Linked DNA regions of Anolis sagrei. The protein of the gene in region 2 purifies or fractionates together with the protein of the main gene of each other region. This does not show direct contact. Links are inferred from orthologs where the notes say so. Each region holds a gene or a part of one and is shown on either strand. Other genes may lie near its edges. The genes, in order: EDC4, DCP1B and BAG4.

Region 1 (7,237 bases), on a different chromosome or scaffold from region 2:
GATATAAATACGGTAAATAAATAATAAATAAATAATGGTGTTGCTGGAGAGAGAGTTTCACAGTTGAGGAGCCACCCCTGAGAAGGCCCTGTCTCTCATCTCCATCAGTTGCACTCGTGAAGAAGGTGGAACCGAGATCAGGGCCTCACCAGAAGATCTTACACGTACTAGTAGGCTCCTAATCTTTAAAAGGTCATTGTATTTAGACTCTGTGCCTACTGACTAATATTGAACTGCATGTATTGTATTTAAAGTCTATTATCCACGCACTAATATTGAATTGTATTTTAACTCTATAGCTACGCTGTAATATTTATTTTTAACATGTGAGTTGTTTTCAATGGGATTGGTATTAGATTGTGGGGTTGAGTTGTTGTAGGTTTTTTTTCAGACTAACTGGCCGTGTTCTAGAGCAGGGGTCCTCAAACTTTTTAAACAGAGGGCCAGGTCGCAGTCCCTCTAACTGTTGGAGGGACAGGTTATAATTTGGAAAAAACATGAATGAATTCCTATGCACACTGCACATATCTTATCTGTAGTGCAAAAAACATATTACAACAATACAATAATTAAAATGAAGAACAATTTTAACAAACATAACCTTATTAGTATTTCAAGAGGAAGGGTGGGCCTGCTTTTGGCTGATGAGATAGGCTTGTTATTGTTGTGTGCTTTCATGTCATTTCAGATTTAGGCTGACCCTGAGTGAGGGCCAGGTAAATGACCTTGGAGAGGCGTATCCGGCCCCTGGGCCTTAGTTTAAGGACCCCTGGTCTAGAGGAATTCTCTCCTGACGTTTTGCCTGCATCTCTGGCAGGCATCCTCAGCGGTTGTGAGGTCTGTTGGAACTAGGAAAATTGGGTTTATATATCTGTGGAATGATGTCCAAGGTGGGAGAAAGAACTCTTGTCTGTTGGAGGCAAGGGTGAATGTTGCAATTAATCACCTTGATTAGCATTTGATGGCCTGGCAGTTTTTTTGGTGTGGCTTGTTCGTGTCTGGGGGAATCTTTTGTTGAGAGGTGATTAGCTGTCCCTGATTGTTTCCTCTCTGGAGTTACCGTGTGTGTTGGTGTTGTTTTGCTATAATAATTTTAGAGTAGCCAAAAACCTGCCAGGCCATCAAATGCTAATCAAGGTGATTAATTGCAACATTGTATTGTTGAAGGCTTTCATGGCTGGAATCACTGGGTTGTTGTAAGTTTTTTCGGGCTATATGGCCATGTTATAGAGGCATTTTCTCCTGACGTTTCACCTGCATCTATGGCAAGCATCCTCAGAGGTAGTGAGGTCCTCACAACAACCCAATTGCAACATTCACTCTTGCCTCCAAAAGACAAGAGTTCTTTCTCCCACCTGGGACTTAACACAGATATATAAACCCAATTTTCCTAGTTCCAACAGACCTCCCAACCTCTGAGGATGCCTGCCATAGATGCAGGTGAAATGTCAGGAGAGAATGCTTCTGGAACATGGCCAGACAGCAAGGAAACCTCACAGCAACCCAGTGATTCCAGCCAGGAAAGCCTTCGACAACAGATTGTGGGGTTGTTGGCCAGCTTGAGTCCCTATGGGGAGAAAGGCGGGGGAGAGGAAAAAACTTAATAATAATCATGTATTGTTGAAGGCTTTCATGGCCGGAATCACTAGGTTGTTGTAGGTTTTTTCGGGCTATAATGCCTCTAGGCCATGGCCATATAGCCCAAAAAGACCTACAACAACCTAATAATAATAATAATAATAATAATAATAATAATAATGGGTGCTGACTATCTGTGGGCAGAAAAAGGCAGCAGGAGAGGACTTGACACTGGAGCGGGGCTTCCTCCCAGCCGCTCAGAGCTCGGTACTTGGCTTCAACGGGCAGCCTAAAAGCACGACTCATCCTCCTCCTCCAGCCCAGGCCCTTCTCAGAGGCGCTTGGGCTCCCTCTCCATATAATCACCTCTCAACAAAAGATTGCTCCAGGCACTGTCAAGCCATTAAATGCTAATGAAGGTGGTCAGTTGAAACATTCCCACCTAGCTCCAGCAGACAAGAGTCCTTTGTCCCACCCTGGTCATTATTCCACAGATATATAAACCCTTTTCCCTAGTTCCAACAGACCTCACGACCTCTGAGGATGCTTGCCATAGATGCAGGCAAAACGTCAGGAGAGAATGCCTACAGACCATGGCCATATAGCCCAAAAAAACCTACAACAACCCAATAATAATAATAATAATAATAATAATGGGTGGTGAAAATGGCAGCAGAGGCCCAGCTTCCCAAAGGGCCTGACACTAGAGCGGGGCTTCCTCCTCCTCCAGCCCAGGCCCTTGTCAGAGGCGCTTGGGCTCCCTCTCCATATAATCACCTCTCAACAAAAGATTGCTCCAGGCACTGTCGAGCCATTAAATGCTAATGAAGGTGGTCAGTTGAAACATTCCCACCTAGCTCCAACAGACACGAGTTCTTTGTCCCACCCTGGGCATCATTCTTGATATATAAACCCATTGTCCTAGTTCCAACAGACCTCACTACCTGAGGAGGCTTGCCATGGATGCAGGCGAAACGTCAGGAGAGAATGCCTCTAGAACATGGCCATATAGCCCGAAAAAACCTACAACAACCCAATAATAATAATAATAATAATAATAATGGGCGCTGAAAATGGCAGCAGGGGCCCAGCTTCCCAAAGGGCCTGACACTGGAGCGGGGCTTCCTCCTCCTCCTGCAGCCCAGGCCCTTCTCAGGGGCGCTGGGGCTCCCTCTCCGGCCGGGGCGCCCTCCTCCAGGCTAGGCCGCGAAGCCGGGGCCTGGCGTTGTCCCTCCTTCCCGCCGGCCTGGGCCTCCTCACCTGCGGGCCGGTCCAGCTTGAGGATGTCCCGCAGGTGCTGCGTGGCATCCTCGATGTCGATGCTGGCCGAGGCCATGGAGACCCCTCGCCCGGCCGCCCTCCTCCGCAACACACGCCGCCTCCGCCTCTGCCGCTCGCGCCGACTCAGGTAGGCCAAACCCCGACGCGCAGCCCACTTCCGCTTCCGGTCCGTGCTTCCCGCTCCTTCCCCCCGCCAACAGCAGCCCCGCGCATTGAGTTCCGCTTCCAAACAGGCGCTTGGCGCAGGAATCCTCCCCGGAAGGTTGGAGAGAGACCGGGATATTTTTTGGGAATACATGGCTCTGTATCCCAGGATCTGGTCCCAGCCCAGATCCCAGACCCAGGGCCGGGTAAATGACCTTGGAGGTCTTCATCCGGCCCCGGGACTTAGTTTAAGGACCCCTGGTCTAGAGGCATTCTCTCCTGACGTTTCGCCTGCATCTGTGGCAAGCGTCCTCAGAGGGAGTGAGGTCTGGTGGAAGTAGGAAAGTGGAATGACCAGGGTGGGAGAAAGAACTCTTGTCTGCTGGAGCTAGGTGTGAATGTTTCAACTGACCACCTTGGTTAGCAGTGCCTGGGGCAATCTTTTGTTCAGAGGTGATTAGATCCTCAGAGGTCGTGAGGTCTGTTGGAAATAGGAAAAAAAGGGTTTATATATCTGTGGAATAATGACCAGGGTGGGACAAAGGACTCTTGTATGTTGGAGCTAGGGGTGAATGTTTCAACTGACCACCTTGATTAGCATTTGATGGCCTGGCAGTGCCTGGGGGAATCTTTTGTTGAGAGGTGATTAGACGTCCTGATTGTTTTCCCTCTGCTGTTCTGCTGTTTTAATTTTAGAGTTTTTTTAATACTGGTAGCCAGATTGTGTTCATTTTCATTGTTTCCTCCTTTCATGTCACCCCTAGCTCCAACAGACAAGAGTCCTTTGTCTCACCCTGGTCATTATTCCACAGATATATCAACCCATTTTCCTAGTTCCAACAGACCTCACTCCCTCTGAGGATGCTTGCCATAGATACAGGCGAAACGTCAGGAGAGAATGCCTCTAGAACATGGCCCTATTGCCTGAAAAAAACCACAACAACCCAGTGATTCCGGCCATGAAAGCCTTTGACAATACATTGTCCACATGCTTCTTGTGGATTTCAAAGGCTTCTCTGTGTAGCCTGACGTGGTGGTTGTGAGAGTGGTCCAGCATTTCTGGGTTCTCCAATAATAATCTGCTGGGTCCAGGTGTGTTCCTCAGGTGCTCTGCTATGGCTGACTTCTCTGGCTGAATTACCCTGCAGTGCCTTCCATGTTCCTTGAAAATCCAGGTGGTTATCTGCTTTGAATTGGATTATCTGGCAGTGTCCAGTTCAGAACTGATAATGTGGATGATCTGGATTATCTGGCAGTGTAGAAGGGGCCTTACACCCATCATTGGCTCTGGGAAGATGCTCCAAGCCAGGGCTAATTTTACAGCAACCCCACCATGGGGTTTTCGTAGCCAGATTTTTTTTCCCAAGGGAGAGAACAACAACAACAACAATAATCTTTGTTTATAACCATAGGGGACTCGGGGCGGCTAACGTGAGGCCAAGCCCTGGAATATTACAGCATAATTAGGCACAAAACAACAGAAAAATTACATCACAGCAAAATACATAAAATAACATAATAAAATAGACAGTGCAAAATAACATAATAAGAATCAAACACAAAGGGTGGGGGGCTTTTTTTTTTTTTTTTTTTTTTTTGTCGTGTCAGGAGCGACTTGAGAAACTGCAAGTCGCTTCTGGTGAGAGAATTGGCCGTCTGCAAGGACGTTGCCCAGGGGACAATGCTAGGATGTCTTGATCTTTTACCATCCTTGTGGGAGGCTCCTCTCATGTCCCCGCATGAGGAGCTGGAGCAGGTAGAGGGAGCTCATCCACCTCTCCCCGGAAAGCCTCCAGGCAGAAGGTGACATTGTCAGGTATTGACGTTACTCCAGGCTCCAAGCGCAAAAGGAGTTGGGTGTCATCCGCATATTGAGAGCAGTCCAGGCCGAATCTCTGAGCCAAACTGGCAAGGGGTCTCACGGAGATGTTGAAGAGAAGAGGGGAGACAATGGCACCTTGGGGGACCCCGCATAGGAGGGGGAACTTTCGAAGACCGCGAATTCTGGACATGGCGAGACGGTGGATCATTAAATCGTAGTCAACGGTGTCAAACGCTGCGGTAAGATCGAGAAGTACCAGAAGCGCTGATCCGCTGTTATCAGACTGGCGACGAAGTTCATCCGTAATGGCAACCAGGACCATCTCCGCCCGGGCAAAAACCTGAGTGGAAAGGGTCCAAGCCGGCTGTGTCATCCACAAATTGCTGCAATTGTCACAATACAGGCCGCTCTATCACCTTACCTAAGAATGGAAGATTAGAGACGGGACGGTTCAAATCCGGGGAGCGGGGTGAGCTCCCATCTGTTAGCTTCTTATGTGGGGACATGAGAGAAGCTTCCCACAGGATGGTAAAACATCTGAGCGTCCCCAGGGCAACGTCCTTGCAGATGGCTAATTCTCTCACACCAGAAACAATTTGCAGTTTCTCAAGTCGCTCCCAGCACTCAAAAAAGTAGGAAAATTATTCTGAAGACCATATAGCGCATGCCGTTATTCAGAGGCTGAAGGTCACGTGAGCAGGACAAGCTCTCCCCTGAGCTGTTCCATCAAAAAGAATGAGCCAGGGCCCCTTTGAAACAAAACGTGTTCCCTGTGAAATTCACCTTTTGTAAGGCATTCTGTGTCTATATGGCTGTTGAACACGCTGCTCTTATTAAGGCCAATACAATAAGTTCAAAACACAGAAAGATGGACTGCCTTCCTTCCTCCAACATTCAAACAAGGCGAAGTCATTTGAGGTTTGCACCAAAGACACCTGGGTCCTAATAGTCCTAATAGTGAGTTTGCAGGGAGAAAAACCTCTTCTTTCTGTCACTTGCTTCGAAGACCAAAATGCTGTCAATCTTAACAAGGTTGAAAATAAATCCCACAAACATTGGGACTATCTCAAAGGAAGTCTACACACATATTAAGCCTCATTGCCAAACAACTTTCCAAAACTGGTCTGCAACACCACTGACAAGCAGGGCCATAAGCTGAATCTATACTGAATCTGAATTATATGGGCAATGTAGACTAGGCATGGGCCAACTTCGGCCTTCCAGGTGTTTTGGACTTCAACTCCCACAATTCCTAACAGCCTACCGGCTGTTAGGAATTGTGGGAGTTGAAGTCCAAAACACCTGGAAGGCCGAAGTTGGCCCATGCCTGGTGTAGACCCATACAATGCAGTTCACCTGCGTTACATAGGTCTCCACTGACCATACTGTACAGATTCAAACTGCATTATATGGCAATGTAAATCCAGCCATAGTTGTTCAGAGATGCTTCCCTGCTGGGAAAAGTAGCAGTCACGTGCATCTTCCCTGAGTGAGGAAACACCACCATGAAAATATAAGGACGCAGAAGCATCAGTGCAAAGAATATATAGCCTGTTTTCCCCAAAATAAGTGTCTTATATTAATTTTTCCTCCCAAAGATCTGCTAGGTCTTATTTTCAGGGAATGCCTTATTTTTCCATGAAGGATATTCACATTTATTGTTGAATCACAGCTGCATGCTCTGGTGTTGTTCGGAGGACGTGCTTCCAAACAAAAACTTTGCTAGGTCTTACTTTCGGGGGAGGCCCTATATTTAGCAAAATCTCTACTAGATCTTATTTTCAGGGGATGTCTTATTTTTCCATGAAGAATCTTCACATTTACTGTTGAATCACAGCTGCATGTATCTGGTGTTGTTCAGAGGACATGCTTCCAAACAAAAACTTTGCTAGGTCTTACTTTCGGGGGAGGAATTATATTTAGCAAAATCTCTACTAGATCTTATTTTCAGGGAATGTCTTATTTTTCCATGAAGAATCTTCACATTTACTGTTGAATCACAGCTGCATGCTCTGGTGTTGTTCAGAGGACATGCTTTCAAACAAAAACGTTGCTAGGTCTTACTTTCGGGGGAGGCCCTATATTTAGCAAAATCTCTACTAGATCTTATTTTCAGGGAATGTCTTACTTTTCCATGAAGAATCTTCACATTTACTGATGAATCACAGCTGCATGCTCTGGTGTTGTTCAGAGGACATGCTTCCAAACAAAAACTTTGCTAGGTCTTACTTTCGGGGGAGGCCCTATATTTAGCAAAATCTCTACTAGATCTTATTTTCAGGGAATGTCTTATTTTTCCATGAAGAATCTTCACATTTACTGTTGAATCACAGCTGCATGTATCTGGTGCTGTTCAGAGGACATGCTTCCAAACAAAAACTTTGCTAGGTCTTACTTTCGGGGGAGGAATTA
Region 2 (8,098 bases):
AGTTGGATGTTTGTAACTTGGGGTCTGTATTATCTATGAGATCTACTTTTATTACTAATCTTAGCAGAGAAAAGGAACTGGGTTGCTGTCAGTTTTCCGGGCTGCCTGGCCATGTTCCAGAATCATTCTCTCCTGACGTTTCACCCACATCTATGGCAGGCATCCTCAGAGGCTGTGAGGTCTGTTGGGAACTAGGCAAGGGAGGTTTATATATCTGTCAAGTGATATATAAACTCTTGTCTGCTTGAGGCAAGTGTGAATGTTGTCCACCTTGATTAGCACTGAATAGCCTTGCAGCTTCAAAGACTGGCTGATTCCTGCCTTCCCAACAAAAGATTCCTCCAGGAATGATAGTAAATAGATAATAATAAGAAACAGAACTATTTAATATCTCTCAGAATATAAGTTTTTAACTTCATTTGTGTTTTTAAATACCCTCAATTCACTTCTCACATGATAAATAAATAGAATATATGATATTAATGCTCTAAGGATCTACGACGTTAAATAGATATAGACCGATCTACTTCATATGTTGGGATATATCATATTAATGCTCTAGGGAAATATGATATCAAATATAAAGAGATCTAGTTACCCTAAGGATATAATACACTGAATAGAGATACAAATAAAACACTAAGCTCTAGGGATATATGAGATGAAGTAGAAAATAAATACATAAACATAGATAGATCTACTTAACATTTCTAGGAATATATGATATTAAATAGGTAATAAAGCGATAGAAAAATCAAGATATAGACCCATTTAATATGTTTTGGGAATATATTGATGCTCTAGGAATATATAATAGATATGCTCTCGGAATATACGATATATATGCTTTAGAAATATATATTTAATAGATAATATATAGAGAGAAATATAGATAATCTATTTAGTATCTTATATATATCAATGCTCCAGGGATATACGATATTAAATAGATCTATCTATAAAGATATATGATATTAATTAGAAAATAAATACATACACATAGATAGATCTATTTTATATCTCTAGGAATATATGATATTAGATCAATATGCTCTAGGAATATTTTATATTAAGTAGGTAATAAAGAGATAAATAGATAGATAGAAGGACAGATCTATTTAATAACTCTTGGGATACCTATTGATGCTCTAGGAATATATGATATATAATGTATATGATCTAGGAATATATGACATATATGCTATAGAAATATTTAAAATATACTATAGAAATAAATATTAAATAGACAATCTATAGAGAGATAAATGTAGATAGATCTGTTTGATATCTCTTGGGATATATATTAATGCTCTAGGAATATAAGATATATAATAGCTATTCTCTAGGTAAATATTATATATATATATATATGCAATATAGAAAGATATGATATCCCTTGGGATATATATTAATGCTCTATTTCTATCCTAAAGAAATATATTATATTTCTTGGGATATATATTAATGCTCTAAGAATATAAGATATATAATATATATGCTCTAGGGAAATATGATATATATGCTATAGAAATATATGATACTAAATAGATAATATATAGAGAGACAAATATAGATATCTCTATTTAATATATCTTGGGATATATATATATTGATGCTCTAGGAATATATAATAGATAATAGATCTAGGGAAATATGATATATATGCTATAGAAATATATATTAAATAGATAATATAGAGAAAGATAAGTATAGATATATCTATTTAATATATTTTGGGATATATATATTGATGCTCTAGGAATATATGATATGTAATAGATATGCTTTAGGGAAATATATATATATATATGTTATAGAAATGTATAATATTAAATAAATAATATATAGATAAATATAGATAGATCTACTTAATATATCTTGGGATATATATTAATGCTCTAGGAATATATATCATACGCTATATATATATATAGATAGATAGAAATATATGATATTAAATAGATAATATATAGAGAGAGATATATAGAGATATCTATTTAATATCTCTTGTGATATAAATCTCAATATTCCCCAGGGATATTATAGATATCTCTATTTAATATCTCTAGGGATATCGGATATTAAATAGATATTTAATAGATATATAGAGGGATGGATCTATTCAATACCCCTAGGGGTATATTTTAGATAGGCAGACAGGACACAAGGCTCTAGGGATCCCTCAGGCCACCCCTTTCCCCTGCAATGGGCTTTCCCTCCCCTCCACCCGTCTCTTCGGCCTTGGAAGAGACCATTCCATCAGGGCGGGGATCCCCACTGGGTCTTTCCTTACCTATTCACCTCCCATTGTCCTCTTCCCTCCTCTGGCTGCCGAGAGCGGCCAAGCTGCCTCCTGCCTCCTCCTCCACACGCCCCCTCCCACCGCCCTCTGCCGCGGAGCATCCTGGGAGGCGTAGTCCAGAGCTCTTATCACTCGCCACGCTTAGATAAGGCGAGATTCCCATTGCCTTCCTTCGCGCTGTATTGTGGGTAGTGTAGTCACAGCGCCTGCGTTCTGTGCCCACACTGGGGCCTCTCTGAACTACAACTCCCATAGCAGAGTTGTAGGATATTAAATAGATGTATTTATTTGTCGTGTCAGAGCAGCCAGTCCATTATATTACATTTCTAACACAACAAAGCAAACAAACAGACAAAATACAAAACTTGTGAGTTTGGTGGTTGGTTAAATGTCCTTTGACCAGTATCTGGCCACTTGGAGTGCCTCTGGTGTTGCCGCAAGAAGGTCCTCCATGATGCATGTGGCTGGGCTCAGGTTACATTGCAGCAGGTGGTCAGTGGTTTGCTCTTCTCCACACTCGCATGTCAAGGATTCTACTTTGTAGCCCCATTTCTGAAGGTTGGCTCTGCATCTCGTGGTGCCAGAGCGCAGTCTGTTCAATGCCTTCCAAGTCACCCAGTCCTCTGTGTGCCCAGGAGGGACTCTCTCATTTGGTATCAGCCATTGGTTGAGGTGTTGGGTTTGAGCCTGCCACTTTTGGACTCTTGCTTGCTGAGGTGTTCCAGCAAGTGTCTCTGTAGATCTTAGAAAACTATTTCTAGATTTGAGTCGTTGACGTGCTGGCTGATACCCAAACAGGGGATGAGCTGGAGATGTCTCTGCCTTGGTCCTTTCTCTATTGGCTGCTACTTCCCGGCAGATGTCAGGTGGTGCAATACCGGCTAAGCAGTGTAATTTCTCCAGTGGTGTAGGGCGCAGACATCCTGTGATAATGCGGCATGTCTCATTAAGAGCCACATCTACTGTTTTAGCGTGTTGAGATGTGTTCCACACTGGGCATGCATACTCAGCAGCAGAGTAGCACAGCGCAAGGGCAGATATCTTCACTGTATCTGGTTGTGATCCCCAGGTTGTGCCAATCAGCTTTCGTATGATATTTTTTCTAGCACCCACTTTTTGCTTGATGTTCAGGCAGTGCTTCTTGTAGGTCAGAGCACGGTCCAGAGTGACTCCCAGGTATTTGGGTGTGCTGCAATGCTCCAGTGGGATTCCTTCCCAGGTGATCTTCAGAGCTCGGGATGCTTCTCTGTTCTTGAGATGAAAGGCACATGTCTGTGTTTTAGATGGGTTGGGGATCAGCTGGTTTTCCCTGTAATAGGCAGTAAGAGTAAGAAGTAAGAGCAGTAAGCAGTAATTAAATAGATAACATATATAGAGAGATAAATATAGATAGATGTATTTAATATATCTTGGGATATATATATATATATATATATATATATATATTAATACCCAAGAATATATGATATATAATAGATCTAGTATGTTAAATAGACATTTAATAGATCTATAGAGGGATGTATATATCTATTAAATATCTATTAAATGTATATATATATTAAATATATTATTATATTTAATACATTATATTTATATCATATTTAATATATTATTATATTAAATTTATTTATTTATTTATTTGCTTTATTTCTATACCGCATTTTTCAGCCCAAACAGGCGACTCAATGCGGTTTACATGGTACAAATTATCACAACAATGTCAGTGCAATTAAAATGCAACAAATGTAACAACAGGATCAACAACATCAATCCACAACAATTAACAAATCAACAAACAAAACAAAACAAAACATAGCGCCTCAGTGAAATCAGATCCGTTCTCATAATCCTTGTGCCAATCCTATATTCCATTTACCGTCTTCCTATGATCGGTTGCACTGTTTAACCAAACGCTTGTTCATAAAGCCAGGTCTTGACCTTTCTCCGAAACGCCAGCAACGAAGGTGCTTGTCTGATGTCTACCGGTAAGGCATTCCATAGCCGAGGGGCCACCACTGAGAAGGCCCTTAAATGTATGTATATATCTATTAAATGTATATAATATGATCAAGGGTCTGGAGAACAAGCCCTATGAGGAGCGGCTTAAGAAGCTGGGCATGTTTAGCCTGAAGAAGAGAAGGATGAGAGGAGATATGATAGCTATGTATAAATATGTGAGAGGAAGCCACAGGGAGGAGGGAGCAAGCTTGTTTTCTGCTTCCCTGGAGACTAGGACGCAAGGGAACAATGGCTTCAAACTACAAGAGAGGAGATTCCACCTGAACATGAGGAAGAACTTCCTGACTGTGAGAGCTGTTCAGCAGTGGAACTCTCTGCCCCGGAGTGTGGTGGAGGCTCCTTCTTTGGAGGCTTTTAAGCAGAGGGTGGATGGCCATCTGTCAGGGGTGATTTGAATGCAACATTCCTGCTTCTTGGCAGAATGGGGTTGGACTGGATGGCCCATGAGGTCTCTTCCTACTCTTTGATTCTATGATTCTATGTCTTGGTGATATTATTATTATTATTATTATTATTATTATTATTATTATTGATTTTAGGCCTGTGCTAGTTGCAGTGAAGCCTGGAGTGAGCTGAGCTGCGTTGCCAGGAGCAACCATCTCCAGCTTTTCCGTTTCGGCGCTCGATTGTTTGAGGCTGGTCCCCTTGCTTTTGCTTCTTCGGCAGCGTCAACAGAGGCCGATGATCGATCGATGTCTCGGCGTTCGGCTGGCATGCCTGGCGCCTCGGGTGTTGTGTTGCTCAGGGAAGCAAGATGGCGGCGGCGGGCGCGTCGTCGGTGGCTGCGGCGCTGTCCGGAGCCGCCCCGCTGGGGAAGGGGCTGGACATCAGCCTGGCGGCTCTGCAGCGGCACGACCCTTACATCAGCAGCATCGTGGACGTGGCCAGCCAGGTGGCGCTCTACACCTTCGGCCACCGCGCCAACGAGTGGGTGAGTGAACCCCAGGGAGAGAGACAGAGAGAGAAGGCCGCCATTGAGGGAGGAGAAGCCCAAAAGGGGCCGCGGCCCCTTTAACTAGAGTCATACAACCATAGAGAACACGTCAGCCATCTAGACCAAACTTGGGCCCTCCAAGTGTTTTGGACTACAACTCCCACAATTCCTAGCAGCCTACCGGCTGTTAGGAATTGTGGGAGTTGTAGTCCAAAACACTTGGAGGGCCTAAGTTTGCCCATGCCTGATCTACACCAACCCCATTCAGCCATGCAGGAGAAGCCCCATCTAAGCAGCCCTGACAGATGGCCACCCAGCCTCTGTTTAAAAGATTCCAAGGAAGGAGCTTGTACCTAGAATCCTAGAGTTGGAAGAGACCTCATGGGCCATCCAGTCCAACCCCATTCTGCCAAGAAGCAGGAATATTGCATTCAAATCACCCCTGACAGATGGCCATCCAGCCTCTGTTTAAAAGCTTCCAAGGAAGGTGCTTGTACCACACTCCGAAGCAGAGAGTTCCCCTCTTGAACAGCTCTTAGAATTATAGAATCAAAGAGTTGGAAGAGACCTCATGAGCCATCCAGTCCAACCCCCTGCCAAGAAGCAGGAATATTGCATTCAAATCACCCCTGACAGATGGCCATCCAACTTCTGTTTAAAAGCTTCCAAAGAAGGAGCTTCCACCACACTCCAGGGCAGAGAGTCCCACTGCTGAACGGCTCTCACAGTCAGGAAGTTCTTCCTCATGTTCAGATGGAATCTCCTCTCTTGTAGTTTGAAGACATTGTTCCGTGTCCTAGTCTCCAGGGAAGCAGAAAACAAGCTTGCTCCCTCCTCCCCGTGGCTTCCTCTCACATATTTATACATGGCTATCATATCCCCTCTCAGCTTTCTCTTCTAAACATGCCCAGCTCCTTAAGCCGCTCCTCATAGGGCTTGTTCTCCAGACCCTTGATCATTTTAGTCGCCCTCCTCTGGACACATTCCAGCTTGTCAATTTCTCTCTTGAATTGTGGTGCCCAGAATTGGACGCAATATTCCAGGTGTGGTCTAACCAAAGCAGAATAGAGCATGGGGAGCATGACTTCCTTAGATCTAGACACTAGGCTCCTCTTGATGCAGGCCAAAATCCCATTGGCTTTTTTTGCTGCCACATCACATTGTTGGCTCATGTTTAACTTGTTGTCCAGGAGGACTCCAAGATCTTTTTCACACGTACTGCTCTACCATCCAACCTCTGTTTAAAAGCTTCTAAAGAAGGAGCCTCCACCACTCTCCGGGGCAGAGAGTTCCCCCGTTGAACAGCTCTTACAATCAGGAAGTCCTTCCTAATGTTCAATATTTTCTCCTGTCATTTGAACCTATGGCTCCAATGAGTCTTAGTTTCAAGGGCAGTGGGAAAAAGCCTGCTCCTTTAAGAAAAACATGAGATCTGGGTTGTTGTAGGTTTTTTCGGGCTATATGGCCATGGTCTAGAGGCACTCTCTCCTGACGTTTCGCCTGCATCTATAGCAAGCATCCTCAGAGGTAGTGAGGTCTGTTGGAACTAGGAAAAAGGGTTTATATATCTGTGGAATGACTAGGGTGGGACAAAGGATTCTTGTCTGCTCGAGCTAGGCGTGAATGTTTCAATTGACACCCTTAATTAGCATATAAGTTGATCTTAAAAACTTTATTTCAAAGCCTGCCTGAATAAAAAGGTAACCTGCTGTCTGAAGGACAGGGAAGAGGCCGTTCTGGCTTCCTTGGGCAGAGAGTTCCAGAGTTGAGGGGCAGCCACTGAGAAGGCCCGCTTTCTCGTTCTTAGCTCAGTGCTAAGGAATCTTGGGATATGCTGTTTTTTTATACCCCACTTTCATCTTTAGATTGGGGGTTGTAGTTTTACAGGGTCTTTAATCTTTTGTGTCCAAAAAGTGCTGGTACCTCACCAAACTTCAACTCCCAGGGTTCCATAGTAGCGAGGCATGACTTAGACCACAAGCAGAGAATGAGTCAATGGTGTAATGTGGCAGCTAAAAAGAATTGCAGTGCAATTCTAAACTAGATCACCAGGAAGATCTGGTTTTAGTGGTTCCCAACCTTTGGGCCTTCAGGTGTTTTGGACTTCAACTCCCTGAAATTCTAGCCAGCTTACCAGTTGTTAGAGCAGGGGTCCTCAAACATTTTAAACTGTTGGAGGGCCGGATTATAATTTGAAAAAAACATGAATGAATTCCAATGCACACTGCACATATCTTATTTGTAGTGCAAAAAAAAAAAACCATTTAAAAACAATACAATAATTAAAATGAAGAACAATTTAAACAAATATAAACTCATTAGTATTTCAGTGGGAAGTGTGAGCCTGCTTTTGGCTGATGAGATATAATTGTTATTGTTGCTGTGTGCCTTCAAGTCATTTCAGACTTAGGTTGACCCTGAGCAAGGGCTGGGTAAATGACCTTGGAGGGCCGTATCCGGCCCCTAGGCCTTAGTTTGAGGACCCCTGTGTTAGAAAATGTGGAAGCTGAAGTCCAAAATACCTGGAGGTCCAAAGGTTGGGAATCACTGAATGAATTCAAGTCTCCAGGGCCAAATGAACTAGATCTAAGAGTATTGAAGGAACTAGCAGAAGTGATTTCAGAACCACTGGCAATAATTTTTGACAATTCTTGGAGAACAGGAGAAGTCTGGATTGGAGAAGGGCAAATATTTGGGGGAAGAGGACCCAAACAATTACTGTCCAGTCAGTCTGACATCAATACCAGGAAAAATTCTGGAGCACATTGTTAAGGAGACAGTCTGCAATCACTTAGAAAGGAATGCTGTGATCACTAAAAATTAGTATGAATTTCTCAAAAAGA
Region 3 (6,974 bases), on a different chromosome or scaffold from region 2:
TTTGGCTGTTCCAGTGTGCCTTCACTGAATGAATGAACAATAATCCCCTGACCTGACCAATTTTTGCAAAATCCCCTCGGAAGCACCTTATTTTTCCTGTTAGTGCAATCCACTCTACCTTACCCTGGATTCCCTGTCCAGATACATTACACTCCTGTCACACACAGTGTTTTGAATTTTTGATCTATTAGAATTGGCCCTGCCCACAATGTTTGTTCTGTGTTTAATGGTTGCGATTTTATATTGTCAACGTGCTAGTTACTATGGTTTTGTATTGTATTTTTTATCTTTATTTCTTCCATTTAATTGCTATGTTTTATTATTGACGTATTGTATTGCTGGGCTTGGCCTTATGTAAACCGCCCCGAGTCCCCTTGGGGTGATAGTGGCAGGGTATAAATAAAGTTGTTGTTATTATTATTATTATTTTTATTATTATTATTATTATTATTATTATTATTATGTGTGACCGCATTTCTGTGTACGAACCTACACGATCTCTTCGATCATCTGGAGAGGCCCTGCTCGTGCTCCCACCTCCTTCGCAAGCGCAATTGGTGGGAATGAGGGAGAGGGCCTTCTCGATGGTGGCCCCCCAACTCTGGAACTCACATCCCAAGGACATTACGCAAGCCCCAACTCTGGCAGTCTTTAAGAGGAGCCTGAAAACATGGTTGTTCCAGTGTGCCTTCCCAGAATAAGGAAAACTCTCTGCAATACGCCCTCAAAATGCACTTTTGATTTAGGACTGACTGCGTTCCCACGTCTCTTTTTGAAAACCCTATACCAGTTATATCCTACCTTGTTCATGCCGAGCATTATTTTTTAAATGTTACATTATTACATTTGGCCCGGCTATTGGTTTTTAAATGCTTGTGTTACTGTTAATTGTTTTATTTGTTTATTATTTATATTAATTGTATTATAATGATTGTTTTTGTTATTGCTCTTGTTTATTGATGTATTGTGGGCTCGGCCTCATGTAAGCTGAACTGAGTCCCTTGGGGAGATGGTAGCGGGAAATAAAAAAAGTATTATTATTATTATTATTATTGTCGAAGGCTTTCATGGCCGGAATCACTGGGTTGTTGTAGGTTTTTTCGAGCTATATGGCCATATTCTAGATGCATTTATCTATTACATTTGGCCCGGCCTCAGTTTTTAATGTGTCGTGGTGTTGCTTATTGTTATTGTTTTAATGTTTATTGCTTTGCTTTATGAGTTCATTTATTGTTGTATTTGTTATGCTGTTGTTTTATTGATGTGTTGGATCTTGGCCTCTTGTAAGCCGCACCGAGTCCTTCGGGAGATGGTAGCGGGGTATAAATAAAGTTAAATAAAATAAAAACCATTTAGAAGAAAAAAGTGAGAAAGAAGAGAGAGAGAAAAAAACCACAACAATGTATTGTCGAAGGCTTTCATGGCCAAAATCACTGGGTTGTTGTAGGTTTTTTCGGGCTATATGGCTATGGCCTAGAGGCATTTTCTCCTGACGTTTCGCCTGCATCTATAGCATGCATTCTCAGAGGTAGTGAGGTCCGTTGGAACTAGAAAAAAGGGTTTATATATTTGTGGAATGACCAGGGTGGGACAAAGGACTCTTGTCTGCTGGAGCTAGGTGCAAATGTTTCAACTGACCACCTTGATTAGCATTTGATTAGCGACTAAAATGATCAAGGGTCTGGAGAACAAGCCCTATGAGGAGCGGCTTAAGGAGCTGGGCATGTTTAGCCTGAAGAAGATAAGGCTGAGAGGAGACATGACAGCCATGTATAAATATGTGAGAGGAAGCCACAGGGAGGAGGGAGCAAGCTTGTTTTCTGCTGCCCTGGAGACTAGGACGCAATGGAACAATGGCTTCAAACTACAAGAGAGGAGATTCCATCTGAACATAAGGAAGAACTTCCTGACTGTGAGAGCCGTTCAGCAGTGGAACTCTCTGCCCCGGAGTGTGGTGGAGGCTCCTTCTTGTCAGGATAATTGCAGTTATTTTATGTATGTTTTTCAATGTGTTAATAATGGATTCAGTTATGTTCAGCTGTGTGCTAGAATTGTAGTCACTAGAGGCAGTGAGAGTAAAGTCCTTGAGACTGAGATAACAGTCCTGAGAACAAAAGGGAGTCAACCAGCTAGAAGACAGATAAGGCGAAGGGCAGGATGTTTCTTTGTCTGTGTGTTTAGTCCTGTACTTTGTCAGTCACCATCTTTCCTCATCAATATGTAGTCGCCTGTAAATAGATGCTTCCAGTAAAGCTTATTATTTTTGAAACCGAAGAAGAATGCTGTGTGGTAATTGAGTCTGTGTGTTTTGGAAACCTCAAGTTCGCTGTGCCAGACCGGAGGGTCTCACTCTGACACTTCTTTGGAAGCTTTGAAACAGAGGCTGGATGGCCATCTGTCAGGGGTGCTTTGAATGCAATATTCCTGCTTCTTGGCAGAATGGGGTTGGACTTGATGGCCCATGAGGTCTCTTCCAACTCTTTATTTTATGATTGCCTGGCAGTGCCTGGAGCAATCTTTTGTTGTCTATTATTATTATTTCACCTCCACTTTAGGAACTAACTTCCTGACCTGGAGCGTGGTGGAGGTTTGTAAGCAGAGGCTGAGTGGCCACCTGCAAGGAGGGCTTGTTTGGTGCTTTTCCTGCCATGCAGGATAACGGGGTTGGTCTGGCTGGCCCCTGAGGTCTCTTCCAACGCGAGGATGCAAGCGTGCGGCCTAGCGCATGCGCACTTGGCAGCCCCCAACCCTGGCAGACCAAAAGGAGGGTCAGAAAGTGCCCGGATGCCACCCAGTCAGGAAAGGCCGTTACCTGGGCGCCACCCCGAGCCGTCCTCTCGCCGCCATGCTGCGGGCACCTGCGGGCATCTCCTCCCCACGGGGGCGGCGGTGGGGGCTCTGGCTCAGGCCGGACACGCTCCACGTCGGGCCCGTGAAACAGTCTCCTCAGAGCGGCCGCCATTCGAAGCGATTACTCCTCACCCCTCTTGAGAAGAAGCAACTGCGCCTGCGCGGGCTGAGCGCGGCCTTAGCCAATCACAGTCGTCGCCCCGCCCACTCCTCCCCCCGCGCGCACGATCTCTCTCTCTCGCCATGTTTGACCTTTTGCGGCATTCCCGGATGTTGAGGACTCAGTGCTGGCTCGGAACGGTGACGTCATCTGGATAGGGCCCAATCAGATGAGCTTGAGGTATTGTCGAAGGCAATTGAGCTTGACCCAATAGCAAAGTTGGAGTCACCCTTAAAGAGCTCTCTTTAAACCTGGAATGTGTCCCAAATACATCATTTCTTTTCCAGGAGAGGTTTCATTGAGTCACTATCACAATGTCACCAACTCTGGAGTCCTTGTGGACAGCCAACAATGTGATGTGGCGGCAAAAAAAGCCAATGGGATTTTGGCCTGCATCAAGAGGAACATAGTGTCTAGATCTAGGGAAGTCATGCTCCCCATGCTCTATTCTGCTTTGGTTAGACCACACCTGGAATATTGTGTCCAATTCTGGGCACCACAATTCAAGAGAGATATTGACAAGCTGGAATGTGTCCAGAGGAGGGCGACTAAAATGATCAAGGGTCTGGAGAACAAGCCCTATGAGGAGCGGCTTAAGGAGCTGGGCATGTTTAGCTTGAAGAAGAGAAGGCTGAGAGGAGATATGATAGCCATGTATAAATATGTGAGAGGAAGCCACAGGGAGGAGGGAGCAAGCTTGTTCTCTGCTTCCCTGGAGACTAGGACGTGGAACAATGGCTTCAAACTACAAGAAAGGAGATTTCATCTGAACATGATTCAACCTGATGTCATCGAGGGCAGTGGAGACCCCCACCTTCAAGTTGGTCTGACCCGCAGCGGAGAGTTCCGCAGTTCCTGGAAGCCCAAATTGGAACAAACTGAAGAAATGTGCCCCAACAGACAGCTCAAACAGGGACTGTACCAAGCCTCTGTGCCTTTCTATCACTTTTCCCCAAGCCCTAACATTGTAACTATTCCCCTAATAAAGATACTTGAAATTGCAACTTTTTAACTTTCTAGCTTGATACTTTGTGTCACTTCTTGCCTGAACTAACTAAATGCATGAATTCAACCTTTTCCAGGCCGCGGGGGACTGCGAGCCTGCCCGGAATGCCTTCCTGGCGTTCCGGGGACGCCGAATCCACGCCGCTTGAAACCGCGGATACGGAGTTTTTCCTTTCAGATCTCCATATCCACAAAATGGCGGATCGGCTCCATTTTAATGTCTTATTTTTCTGCACTAAATTCTAAGCTTGTCTGCCATCTCACTTTTCTTATTTTGGACCCCTACGCTCAGGAAATAACCTCTCAAGTTTTGAGAATATATTTTATTAGAAACAGCTGATTGCCAAATATGCTGGTTCCATGGCTGCTGCTTCATCGCTCCTCGCTGCCTCTCGCCTCTGCCAAGCTCTGGACCCGGGGACTTGATGCGGTTCCCCCATGGGACTTCAGGGAAGAGCCTGGCCAAGGTGCCCTGGACCTTGGGAAGAGATTCTAGTTTTCCAAGGACCAAAGTGTGAAATCATTGCAGCACAGCTGGAGTTCCATCTGCCAGCCTTTGCAAAGATCGAGGACTTTCTGTTGCCTGTTTAGAACTTCAGAATCCATGTTGGAGAATGGAGAATACGGTGGTCAATCAACCTAGGCAACTCCATCCTGCACATTTTCGAGAGCAACCCCTATAGATTTTGCCGACAATACAACTTAGACTCTAATACAGACATTTTAAATGCCATAATAAGTAGCACGTCAGCAATATAAAACCCTAAAGACTGCCAGAGTTGGGGCACCTTGGTATCCCTACGGATGTCCTCAAACACTCTCTGCTTCATTCAGAAAAATGCTGCACTTGCAAAGCTCAGGCGGTGTTGAATTACAGTGTCAATGTGGACTTTTGTGGAGAGAGGGCTGCCAAGGTAGCGGAAATTGTCTACTTTTTCTAATGTTACACCATTAAGCTGTATTTCTGGCATTGGAGAGGGGTTGGCCGGTGACTGCTGGAAGAGGACTTTGGTTTTCTCGATGTTCAGTGACAGGCTGAGTTTCTCATATGCTTCTGCAAAGGTGTTTAGAGTGACTTGTAGGTCCCCTCAATGGACTGTCACCTTGTCGTGGTGAGGGGGCTTGCGTGTTCCAATGAACCTGTGGGCACAACGACTGGAATCGTGCACTCCCAGGAGTGGCCGCAGGGGAGGTTCCAGACCAAGCACAGTCCGAAGACTCAAAGACCTCAACGGCGGAGCAGGCAGAGGATAACATGGTACATGTTACAACGGCTGTGAAGGCGGAAGAAGGCTGCAACAGATTGAGAAGCCACGGTTATTGTGTCAAACTACATCACCAGTGGAACCTCACTCTGTGAAGACTGTGTGTCGATCAGTTGTGCACTGACCTCCACACATTAAAAAAAACCCACGCACAGGCGTCTTCCAAAGAAAATGAAAAAACAAACCAACTGGACAGGAAAAGAAATTTAAAGATGGGCTCAAAGCCAACCTTAAAAACTCTGGCATAGACACTGAGAACTGGGAAGCCCTGGCCCTTGACTGCTTCAGCTGGAGGTCAGCTGTGACCAGCAGTGCTGCAGAATTCGAGGAGGCACGAGTGGAGGGCGAAAGAGAGAAACGTGCCAGGAGGAAGGCGCGTCAAGCCAACCCTGACCAGGACCGCCTTCCACCTGGAAACCAATGCCTTCACTGTGGGAGAAGATGCGGGTCAAGAATAGGGCTCCACAGCCACCTACGAATCCACAAAAATAGTCATCAAGGAAGACCATCTTACTCGTCCAATGAGGGATTGCTTAAGTAAGTAAGACATCAGAAGAGCTGCAAGACCAAGAACAAGCCACGAGAGTAAAGATGAAGATCCACCCAGAGGAAAAGTGTTCCTGCCATACATCAAGGGAACCACTGACCGCATAGGGAAGCTGATGAGGAAACACAACATACAAACTATCTACAAACCCACCAAGAAAATCCAACAAATGCTACGTTCAGCAAAGGACAAGAGGGATCCTCTCACCTCTGCAGGAGTCTACCGTGTACCATGCAGCTGTGGACAAGTCTACATAGGGACCACCAAACGCAGCAGCATTGCCCAGACACGCATCAAGGAACATGAAAGGCACTGCAAACTACTCCAACCAGAGAAATCAGCCATAGCAGAGCACCTGATGAACCAGCCTGGACACAGCATATTATTTGAGAACACAGAAATGCTGGACCACTCTCACAACCACCATGTCAGACTACACAGAGAAGCCATTGAAATCCACAAGCATGTGGACAGTTTCAACATAAAGGAAGAAACCATGAAAATGAACAAAATCTGGCTACCAGTATTAAAAAACTCTAAAATTACAACAGCAAAACAGCAGTGAGGAAACAACCAGGCACATCTAAACACCTCTCAACAAAAGATTTTCCCAGGCTCAGCCAGGCCTTCAAATGCTAATGAAGATGGTTGGTTGAAACATTCACACCTAGCTCCAGCAGAGAAGAGCTCTTTGCCCCAGCCATTCAACAGATATAAAAACCCATTGTCCTAATTCCAACAGACCTCACTACCTCTGAGGATGCTTGCCATAGATGCAGGCGAAACATCAGGAGAAATGCCTCTAGAACAGTGTTTCTCAACCTGGGGGTCGGGACCCCTGGAGGGGTCACAAGGGGGTGTCAGAGGGGTCACCAAAGAACACCAGAAAACACAGTATTTTCTGTTGGTCATGGAGGTTTTGTGTGGGAAGTTTGGCCCAATTCAATCATTGGTAGTGTTCAGAATGCTCCTTGATTGTGGGTGAACTATAAATCCCAGAAACCACAATTCCCAAATGTCAAGGTCTATTTTCCCCAAACTCCACCAGTGTTTACATTTGGGCTTATTGAGAAATTGTGCCAAGTTTGGTCCAGATCCATAATTGTTTTGAGTCCACAGTGCTCTCTGGATGTAGGTGAACTTCAAC

What was found.
Region 1: the proteins of DCP1B (region 2) and EDC4 purify together in Homo sapiens (affinity purification with mass spectrometry; 3 studies listed by BioGRID and IntAct, with this or other methods). This does not show direct contact. The link is inferred for Anolis sagrei from reciprocal best matches to the Homo sapiens genes DCP1B and EDC4.
Region 3: the proteins of DCP1B (region 2) and BAG4 purify together in Homo sapiens (affinity purification with mass spectrometry; 3 studies listed by BioGRID and IntAct, counting the BioPlex papers as one, with this or other methods). This does not show direct contact. The link is inferred for Anolis sagrei from reciprocal best matches to the Homo sapiens genes DCP1B and BAG4.

The regions. Positions count from the first base shown.
Region 1 is NC_090028.1:44,202,791-44,210,027, reverse strand, and holds the start of EDC4 (enhancer of mRNA-decapping protein 4), read right to left. Parts: upstream 3,034-7,237; 5' UTR 2,915-3,033; coding exon 2,839-2,914; intron 1-2,838. UniProt on the Homo sapiens protein: In the process of mRNA degradation, seems to play a role in mRNA decapping. Component of a complex containing DCP2 and DCP1A which functions in decapping of ARE-containing mRNAs. Promotes complex formation between DCP1A and DCP2.
Region 2 is NC_090025.1:190,160,941-190,169,038, forward strand, and holds the start of DCP1B (mRNA-decapping enzyme 1B), read left to right. Parts: upstream 1-5,020; 5' UTR 5,021-5,034; coding exon 5,035-5,252; intron 5,253-8,098. UniProt on the Homo sapiens protein: May play a role in the degradation of mRNAs, both in normal mRNA turnover and in nonsense-mediated mRNA decay. May remove the 7-methyl guanine cap structure from mRNA molecules, yielding a 5'-phosphorylated mRNA fragment and 7m-GDP.
Region 3 is NC_090027.1:10,444,696-10,451,669, forward strand, and holds the start of BAG4 (BAG family molecular chaperone regulator 4), read right to left. Parts: upstream 3,014-6,974; 5' UTR 2,963-3,013; coding exon 2,813-2,962; intron 1-2,812. UniProt on the Homo sapiens protein: Inhibits the chaperone activity of HSP70/HSC70 by promoting substrate release. Prevents constitutive TNFRSF1A signaling. Negative regulator of PRKN translocation to damaged mitochondria.